2 linked regions of the Arabidopsis thaliana genome follow. The protein of the gene in region 1 interacts with the protein of each later gene in a pairwise test. Each region holds a gene or a part of one and is shown on either strand. Other genes may lie near its edges. The genes, in order: RPT3 and AT2G03430.

Region 1 (5,276 bases):
AGCCCAAATAGGCCCAACTAGTTATTAATTAATTAACAAGAAGAAGTCCGTGATTTCGAAATTCAAACGAAGCGCCATTTCTTTCTCCTCCTAGGAAACTCTGCAATGGCCATGGCCTATGAGGAAGCTCGCAAGCTCCGTCTTCAAGAGAATCACAAGCGATTTCAAGTTACCCTTCATCGTTACCGCGTTTCTTCTTCTCCTCCTTCTCTGATTCGTTTATCAATTTTGATTATTGAATCTCAGGATTTAGGAATTTCCCAGATTTCTAAGACTCTGACTCAGATTACAAAGAAAACGCCTCAGGTTTCGTGTTTTTTCCTTCCATTTCTGCTTCATTCCTAGTCCAATTTTGTAGCTTTACCACAATTTCAGCTTCTTCAGCAGCGTAATCACAAACCCATCGATAAAGCCCTCTTAGCTACTGCTGAACCAAGACGCTCTTCCCGTGTTCGTACCGTAATTTCTTCCTATCGCGATGATGTAATTTTCCCAGCTTTCTCTTACTTCTGTAATAGATTTTTCACAGCAATCAATCAACCCAATCCCTTGTCTCTTTTCAGGTCGTCGTAGACACTGGTCGTACTTCGAATCTGAGGAGATCGCGACATAGCTCTACATGGGCGACGTAAGTGCCCTGCTCCACAATTTTGCCCTAAAAAACTATCCTTTCATCTGATCAATTAGTTAAAATTCATCAGCTACATTTCTCGACCTCTCCATGAGTGCAAGTTTGCATCTTATGAAGAAAAGGTTGGAGCATTCAAGGCTGCAGAGAAGTTCCAGAGGAGCCTTAAATCTCCACATCCTTACTTTGTGAAATCTATGGTTCGCTCCCATGTTTACAGTTGCTTTTGGCTGGTACGTTCGTTCACAACACTTGTGTGTGTTTCTTCTTCAAGGATTTCGTGTTAGTACCTTACTTGACCTACATGGGTTTGCTTGCAAATTTCAAGGGGCTTCCTTCAAGATTCTGTGCAGACAATTTTCCTGAGGAAACTATGGAAATAGAACTAGAGGATGAAGAAGGCGAAGTGTATGAAGCAGTGTACATTGGTAGAAGAGCTGGACTCAGTGGTGGTTGGAAAAGGTTTGCTCTTGATCATAAATTGGATGATGGTGATGCTCTACTCTTTGAATTGGTTGAACCAAAGAAGTTCAAGGTATGTATGTGTCTTGAACAAGAGTCATGTGGTTGGAGTTAGTTGACATTCTCACATGTTGATTATAAAATGTTTGCTTGGTGCAGATCTATGTGTTTAAAGGAAATGAGAACGCTAATCTTACAAGCGCCAGAAAGAGAGGCAGAGCAACGACGCCAAGTGAAGAAGAAGAAGAAGAAGAAGATAAGGATGTTGAAGAATCAGGTGATGAGGAACACAGCTCAAGAGCCACTAAGAGATCATCCGTAAGGTTACTAAGGAAGAGGAAAGCATAAGAGAGCTTTCTTTTGTCTACATGCCCCATATATTTTTTTGGTTTTTGAGTGGGCTGCTAATACTACTAATACTAATGGCATATTTGTAAGTTTATCAACCCAAGGTAAACTTTGTTTTTTTCAATTTGAAAGTAGAACTGAAACTCTGATGAGCGGCTTTGGTTCGGAAATTTAAATTGTTTCCTCTCAGTTTTGGTTACTAGGCGATGATGAGCTATATACTTCTGATGATACCATTTAGACCAACTCCGTCACAAAATAAACAAATTAAAATGGAGAGAGTAAACGGGCTATTAAATATCAAAACTGGGCCTTACTATGACAAAAGGCCCATTTAATCTATTTTCCTTTTATTTAGATGAGTCGGCTCACAAATTAACATTTCTTTTCCTCTACTCCAAAGATATCTCGGTTCGCAAAAGTCTATTTAATTTCATAGCAATCTCACTTTTCTCTTCCCCCACCCTCAAAGATCTCTCAAAGAATGGCTTCCGCGGCTGTTGCATCGATGGTTCTTGACCCTAAAGCATCACCGGCCTTGATGGATCTATCCACCGCAGACGAAGAAGATCTCTATGGCCGCCTCAAATCGCTTGAACGACAACTAGAGTTCACCGATATCCAAGAAGAATATGTGAAAGACGAGCAAAAGAATCTCAAACGAGAGCTGTTACGAGCACAAGAAGAGGTCAAACGAATTCAATCCGTGCCTTTGGTGATAGGTCAGTTCATGGAGATGGTAGATCAGAACAACGGCATCGTCGGATCTACTACTGGCTCCAATTACTATGTCAGAATTCTCAGCACAATCAATAGAGAACTCTTAAAGCCTTCTGCTTCCGTCGCTCTTCACCGTCACTCCAACGCCCTTGTTGATGTTTTGCCTCCGGAGGCTGATTCTAGCATCTCCCTTCTCAGCCAATCTGAGAAGCCTGACGTCTCCTACAATGTAATGTTTCCTTTTTTCCAAATCTCGACTCTGTTTTCTGAATTAAAGTTAGGGTTTTTGAAACGATCTTTGGTTTCTTATGTGGTGCTTTATCTTTTTGTGTAGGATATTGGAGGATGCGATATTCAGAAACAGGAAATTCGTGAGGCTGTTGAATTGCCTCTTACCCACCACGAGCTTTACAAACAGATTGGTATTGACCCACCTCGTGGAGTCTTGCTCTATGGACCTCCTGGTACTGGAAAGACTATGTTGGCTAAGGCTGTTGCCAATCACACAACTGCTGCCTTCATTAGGGTTGTTGGATCCGAGTTTGTGCAAAAGTATCTCGGCGAGGTATTAAAAATCATAGCTTTATTGAAGGTTTAGGTCCTATTGAGCGATTCTATTTGGTGACTAACTGGTTTTTTAATTGCAGGGACCTCGTATGGTTCGTGATGTCTTCCGTCTTGCCAAGGAAAATGCTCCAGCTATCATCTTCATTGATGAGGTAGATGCCATCGCTACTGCTAGGTTTGATGCTCAAACAGGAGCCGATAGGGAAGTTCAGCGTATTCTCATGGAGCTTCTTAATCAGGTGAGAACAAATAATGAATTTTAGTTGTAATTCAGATCTTATGTTGTAGAATAATGGATTTTAGTTGTGTCCTTAACTTATTGTGTTGAATTCGATGTAGATGGATGGATTTGACCAGACCGTGAATGTCAAGGTCATAATGGCAACAAACAGGGCAGACACTCTAGATCCTGCTCTCTTACGTCCTGGAAGACTTGATCGTAAGATTGAGTTCCCCCTTCCTGATAGACGTCAAAAGAGGCTTGTTTTCCAGGTAAGTTAATTACTACAAGCACTTAAATAACTAGTTAAAGAGATATGAAACCAAATGTTTTCTCAAAAGAAAGTTTTGACTGATATCTTAGTTTCTGTCTTATTGATTGGTTTTTCCTTGTGTAGGTATGCACCTCCAAAATGAACCTTAGCGATGAGGTTGACTTGGAAGACTATGTTTCACGGCCTGATAAAATTAGCGCTGCTGAGGTTAGTTTATTTTGCTTACCATTCTATTCTTCCCGCTATAGTTTACTTTTACCATGATATATCCTCCAGTGTTTCTGGGTCACCACCTAATGATGTTCTTCAAAATATGCACTTGAGCATAATCATACTGTTTCAAGCATTATGTATGAATGTTAGCTGAGTCGTTTGTTAATCATTGTCCTGAACTGAATTGTTGAGAAATCAATTGTTGGCAGTAATATGGTTTGATTTTATCATGTACATGGGAATTGTTCCTAAAAAGATTGCATGTAATGATGATAGTTATTAATGACACTATTTTGATTTTATGTTGAACAATGCAGATAGCAGCAATTTGCCAGGAAGCTGGTATGCATGCGGTGCGAAAGAACAGATATGTGATACTACCTAAGGATTTCGAGAAGGGCTACCGCGCAAATGTTAAGAAGCCAGACACGGACTTTGAGTTTTACAAGTGAAGAGAAAGCAGAAGTGGAACCAGATTATGGCTGTTGTTAAAATTCCAGTGTGTTTTGAGAATTATTAAGGACATGGAATCAAATTTGCAGTTAAATTAAGAACTAAGTTGCATCTCCTAATTTCTGTAACTCGAGTTCACATTTGTTTTTAGTCTATCAGCTTTTTACAGTTTAATGTATAAGAAAAACTGGGGATGGTGTCCTTAGAATTGCCAGAGCATGGTAATAATTATGTCTCCTCTGATTAAAAAGACAACAAAAATAGTGATGATATTAGGAGCACGCTGCACTGCTCAATGTTCATAGAAAACTTCAGACTTCAATAATGCCTAAATGTGTTGGATCTTGTTTTGGAGTTGGTGATAGATGATGAAATGACCAGTATTACTATTACATAGTATCCGCAAATCAAGAATGATGCAAATCAAGAGAAAACAGTAGCAAGAGTGGTTGGACAGGTAAGAACTATTACCATATCTAAATGATTACTTTAAAAATAACAACTTGGATCAAGATGGTTTTTGTTTTCATGTATTTGTCATTTTGCTATCTCATAAGAATCTTAAGCTTGGTCAGTCTCTGGGTCTCTCTACATTAGCGTTTGTTGCGGTGTTTACACACCAATATGATTTGATCTAAAGACTCCTTTTGAAGACTGTCTTACCCTTAACGAATACGCCTCTTTTGTTTAACTTCACCACACTCTCTCTCTCTTTCTTCTTCTTCTTCTTCTTCTTCTTCTTCTTCTTCTTCTTCTTCTCCACTAGTCCCCACATACATTGCCTTTTCTTCTTTCTTCTCTTTCACCATTTCAAGATTGTGTTATAGTCCGCTCAATGCAGTAGAGTGCAGAGGTCTGAGCGCTCCATCTGCATAAGTTCTTCTTCCTCTATTGCTGAGTTCTTCAGTGCCCACAATTTTCTTACTTCGCTAGCTTACCTCTCTACTCCCAGGTTCTCTTTCTCTCTTCTTCTTCTTTTTGGTTTTTGTATTTTTCCTTTTAACTTTCTGTAATTGTCTGTCTCTCATTGTTGGGAATTATACTTAAAAATCGCCATTTTCTCCGGCTAGGTGGGTAGGAAACTTTCAAGACTTTAGATACAGGCTAGTGACGTGGTATATTAGTTCCAATTCGCTGGCTACACGTTGTTTGTTCAACAACTCCGATAAAAATCAGACACTCAAAACTCATCTTTATTTACTTAGTGACATTGTCCACATGATGGACAGACCTCTGCTTCTTTCTCTAGTGACAATATCTTTTGGCAAAAGGAGTCTGCTTTTCTTTGCTCATCAAAGTTTTGTGTTAAAGTTTGGCTCTTTAGCTTTATTCCTTTTGCTTTTTTTTTTGTGCTGGATGCTTCAATCTCTTATCTTAGCCTCTTGGATTGT
Region 2 (4,441 bases), on another chromosome or scaffold:
ACATAAACCCGGTCACGGCGAGCCAACAACACATAAACCGGTCTCCAACACCGATCCAACAACACACAGACCGGCTACGAACGCTGAGCTCATGGCTAGTGCCAAGATCGTAGCCGAAGCTGCTCAAGCCGCTGCTCGTCACGAGTCAGACAAGCTTGACAAAGCCAAAGTCGCCGGAGCCACCGCTGATATCTTAGACGCCGCTTCTAGATACGGTAAGCTCGATGAAAAGAGCGGTGTTGGTCAGTACCTTGAAAAGGCTGAACAATATCTTCACAAGTACGAAACTTCCCACTCTCACTCCTCCACCGGTGGAACTGGAAGCCACGGTAATGTTGGAGGACACGGTGGTGGAGCTGGAGCACCGGCGGCTAAGAAAGAAGATGAGAAGTCCGGAGGTGGTCATGGGTTTGGAGATTATGCTAAGATGGCTCAAGGTTTTATGAAGTGAGTAATGTTTTAGTTTCTAAAAATAATTATGTTAGTAATTATCTTCTATAATTACTGTTTTAGTAAGCTGTTGTTTTTTCTGAATTATTATTAACTGTTGGATTTGTCATTTGTGTATGATGGAGGAAATTATGATGTTAAAGATCATGTATCATGTTGTTGACCACTCGAGATTGCGTTAATCAAATATTTGTATAATTAGAACCGAACTTTAAGTTATGGGAAGTAATACTAATTAATATCGAATTTAAATGGACCGTCTAAAAATAAATAAACTAATTATTATCCTGAGAAGAAGGAGGAAAAACACAAGAAAATGATAATTTTTAGGTTTTGGCAAATAAATTAAACCTAATGTATCGAACTGAAATAGGAAAGCAAAATAAAGTCAATCGAAACAAAAATTTAAAAATAATTACTAAACATTATAATCAAAAGAATCGAAACTTGAATTACTACGGAACCAAAATATTTTGGATAATCAAAAATATCCGAAATCTATAAATACATTTTTGCAGCCATTTTAACAAATAAATCTTAGAGTTGGACTTATTTACAACTCAATGCCATTAGCATTAATTTTTTTTTTCCGAAATAATTAATTTTACTTTAAATTCTTAATTTAAATTGTCAACCACATTATCAATCAAATTTAATCCAAACAAACTTCACATCAATCCCTTAAAATTAGCATAAACGTATTTGTTAACAATATTTTAAAACAAAGTTTTTTGTTTAAATAAATATTATTCTTACTAAACGTTTTTTGTTTAAATAAATAAATCATGTATTTGAACTTATTTACAATGTCATGCTACTGAAATTAATTATTTAGAAAGAAAAATATTTAATTAACGATTTAAATCTTCTAAATCTTTGCTTTTAGAGTTATTATGTCATTATCTAAAAAGCAAAAATATTTTAAAATATTTATATATTTAAACTTTATAAAACATTATTAATATTTAAACTTATAAAAAGTTTAATATATCAAAAATTTTAACATCATTATATAATATATAGTTTAAAAAAATCTCAAAAAAATTTCCGTCATATTTTGTGATTAAAATTTTTAAAAATGAACATATATTAACCAATTGGCGAAAAAATGTGTGGGTTCAACATCCCGCATCGACTAAAATATTTAGACAATGATTCATAAATAAGATCAACATTAATAAAATAAATGGTTTTTTTTGCAGAACGGGTTTTGCGAGACGGGTTTGGGAGGACGTTACTTAATAACAGTTGTAAACTATAAAATAAAATATTTTATAGATAGATACAATTTACAAATTTTTATATATACTAACTTTAAAAAATAAATTGTCCCCGCGGTATACCGCGGGTTAAAATCTAGTATAATTATATTTTCTAAAATATTAATTATTTTTGGATCAAATAAAATAATTAAAAATACCTGAAAATAGATAAAGTAGTAAAAATACTCAAAAATAACCGAAAATGTCCGAAAATATCCAAAAATAACCGAATATCCGAATATATTCAAAGCAAAATAACCGAATGAATACTAAATTTTGAAACCAAAAGAACCAAAACCGATAGCGAAACAAAATTTCAAAATAAGCGAATGAATACTAAATTTTAGAAAAATAAACTGAAAACCGAATGAATACGAACTGAAAGCGGATAGATAAACCAAACGCAAGTCCTGAGATTGTGTAAAAGGCCCATAAACGGGCCCAATATGCGAATCCATTTTGTTTTCTTGTTGGGAAATTAATCTTTTTCTGCTTATTTTAGGAGAAATTGTTTTAATTTTAATTTAGGGTCTCTTGTCTTTGATCTTTTGTACACTTTCTCTGGATTTTCTGAATTCGAACTTTGGAAGAAGAAGAAGCTTTGATCAATCATGGAAATTGCAACCGATACAGCAAAGCAGATGAGAGACGAAGAGTTGTTCAAAGCAGCGGAATGGGGAGATTCATCGTTGTTCATGTCATTATCTGAAGAACAGCTCTCTAAATCTCTCAATTTCAGAAACGAAGATGGTCGCTCTCTCCTCCATGTCGCTGCTTCCTTCGGCCATTCTCAAGTTTGTTCCTTTCTCTTTTCAATCATATTAAGAACTAATCTGTGGTTAGATAACCTCTTTGATTACTATAGCTGCAGTAAATAGGTTGTTTAACTGATGAGAAAGCCTTAAGGGAAGTTTTTGAGTCTCGCTTTGAAAACCACACGAATCTGCGTTGTTTGGGTTCTTGAGATTAGTGTGTTTTAGGAACAGTGTCAGTATGTGTAAAAATGTTTATGGATGTGGGATTTGCAGATAGTGAAGTTGTTATCAAGTTCAGATGAAGCAAAGACTGTAATCAATAGCAAGGATGATGAAGGATGGGCTCCTTTGCATTCCGCTGCTAGCATCGGTAATGCTGAGCTCGTTGAGGTGCTTTTGACCAGAGGTATGTTACATAATCTTATGTGCCTTATTGTTGTTGAAACGGTGGTAAAATCTTGTTTTGCTATCATAAAGCTGTAATCTTTATCAGTCCTGAGTAGTTGATCTCTTAATATCTAATAGTCCTCCATTGGAATTGGACATATAAGTTCCTACTGTGAAGTAGTTCTTCCAGTGTTTAGCTCTAACTTCAATTCATTGCATGTATGAGAAGATGGATACATTTGATGACATTTTCTTTGTGTTTAGGTGCTGATGTCAATGCCAAAAATAACGGTGGTCGCACTGCTCTTCACTATGCTGCTAGCAAAGGCCGGTTGGAGATTGCTCAGCTTTTATTAACACACGGTGCAAAGATTAACATCACAGACAAGGTTTTGTAGCTTCTTAATGTCTTGTTGCTTGTGATCATCAACACACAAACAAACTTTTTTTTGTGTGGCTTTTAGGTTGGTTGCACTCCGCTTCACAGGGCAGCAAGCGTGGGAAAGTTAGAAGTTTGTGAATTTCTTATTGAAGAAGGAGCAGAGATCGATGCTACGGATAAAATGGGTCAAACTGCACTCATGCATTCAGTTATCTGCGATGACAAACAGGTAAAATTTTCAATCTAATCAACCTTAAAAGCAACATTTCTTTAAAGTTAAAAGTTTCCATGGATCAGGTTGCGTTCCTGCTTATAAGACATGGTGCAGATGTGGATGTAGAAGACAAGGAAGGCTACACTGTTCTAGGCCGAGCTACCAATGAATTCCGACCTGCACTTATCGATGCTGCTAAGGCCATGCTTGAAGGATAAAATGACTCTGGATTACTTTAAAACTTACTAACTCTGAGAGTTGTTTAGTTACTTAAAAGGATTTTTCTTTACTGTATCATGTTTGCAAAATGTTTCTGCCTTATCAATTCATGTTCTGTCTTTAGAAATTTTCTCAAAAGCAATTTTGGAAACAAGTGAGAAAAAAGTTTTTTTTTTTGTTTGGTTAAAAATTATATATATCCTTCTTATCTCCTAAGAGTCACTTACCCTCCTCACAAAAATCTAAAGGCAAAATGATGCAAACAAAAATCTCTTCTTTCTCTCGACCAAGCTTTAGTCTCTATGAACCAAGAGTAATTCATCATCCTCGTATCTCCATGGCTCTATCATCATCAGCACCATCCCCGTTTCACCATCTTCTCTGCAAGTCCACCTTCCCTCTCGCTGCCTCACTCACCCTTCTCCTCTCTCCTTGTACCGGTAACTACACTACTACTCAATACTTTTCCTGTGATTCAATGTATATGCGTGTCATCATCATCAGCATCATATGTATATGTATGGATGGTCCTCAGCTGAAGCAGGCTTAATGTCGGGATCTCCCGGTATAGAATCAGTTCCAGGTCCTGAATTACCAAAAATCGAGTTCCTTGACCGTTTCAATGGTACCAATCTTTCAATTTCTTGAATTCAAGAACAAAAAAACTGTGTTTCTCTGCTCTAAGAAAAAGCTTGCTAATTGCAGCAAAAAACCAGAAGTTCTACGCAGAGAACGATGCCAGATTCAAAGATTCTCCACTTCTCAAGAAATT

Evidence for each region.
Region 2: the proteins of RPT3 (region 1) and AT2G03430 interact in a two-hybrid assay, tested with the Arabidopsis thaliana proteins (one large-scale study listed by BioGRID).

The regions. Positions count from the first base shown.
Region 1 is NC_003076.8:23,567,233-23,572,508, forward strand, and holds RPT3 (regulatory particle triple-A ATPase 3), read left to right. Parts: upstream 1-1,819; 5' UTR 1,820-1,922; coding exon 1,923-2,387; intron 2,388-2,492; coding exon 2,493-2,723; intron 2,724-2,805; coding exon 2,806-2,964; intron 2,965-3,064; coding exon 3,065-3,217; intron 3,218-3,342; coding exon 3,343-3,426; intron 3,427-3,749; coding exon 3,750-3,884; 3' UTR 3,885-4,622; downstream 4,623-5,276. Other genes in the region: AT5G58280 (AP2/B3-like transcriptional factor family protein), read left to right, coding at 106-306, 385-483, 564-628, 702-861, 957-1,163, 1,250-1,438. UniProt on the Arabidopsis thaliana protein: The 26S proteasome is involved in the ATP-dependent degradation of ubiquitinated proteins. The regulatory (or ATPase) complex confers ATP dependency and substrate specificity to the 26S complex.
Region 2 is NC_003071.7:1,035,419-1,039,859, reverse strand, and holds AT2G03430 (Ankyrin repeat family protein), read left to right. Parts: upstream 1-2,184; 5' UTR 2,185-2,323; coding exon 2,324-2,506; intron 2,507-2,740; coding exon 2,741-2,873; intron 2,874-3,118; coding exon 3,119-3,243; intron 3,244-3,318; coding exon 3,319-3,465; intron 3,466-3,533; coding exon 3,534-3,668; 3' UTR 3,669-3,852; downstream 3,853-4,441. Other genes in the region: NRP1 (nodulin-related protein 1), read left to right, coding at 1-451; AT2G03420 (uncharacterized protein), read left to right, coding at 3,923-4,109, 4,205-4,294, 4,375-4,441.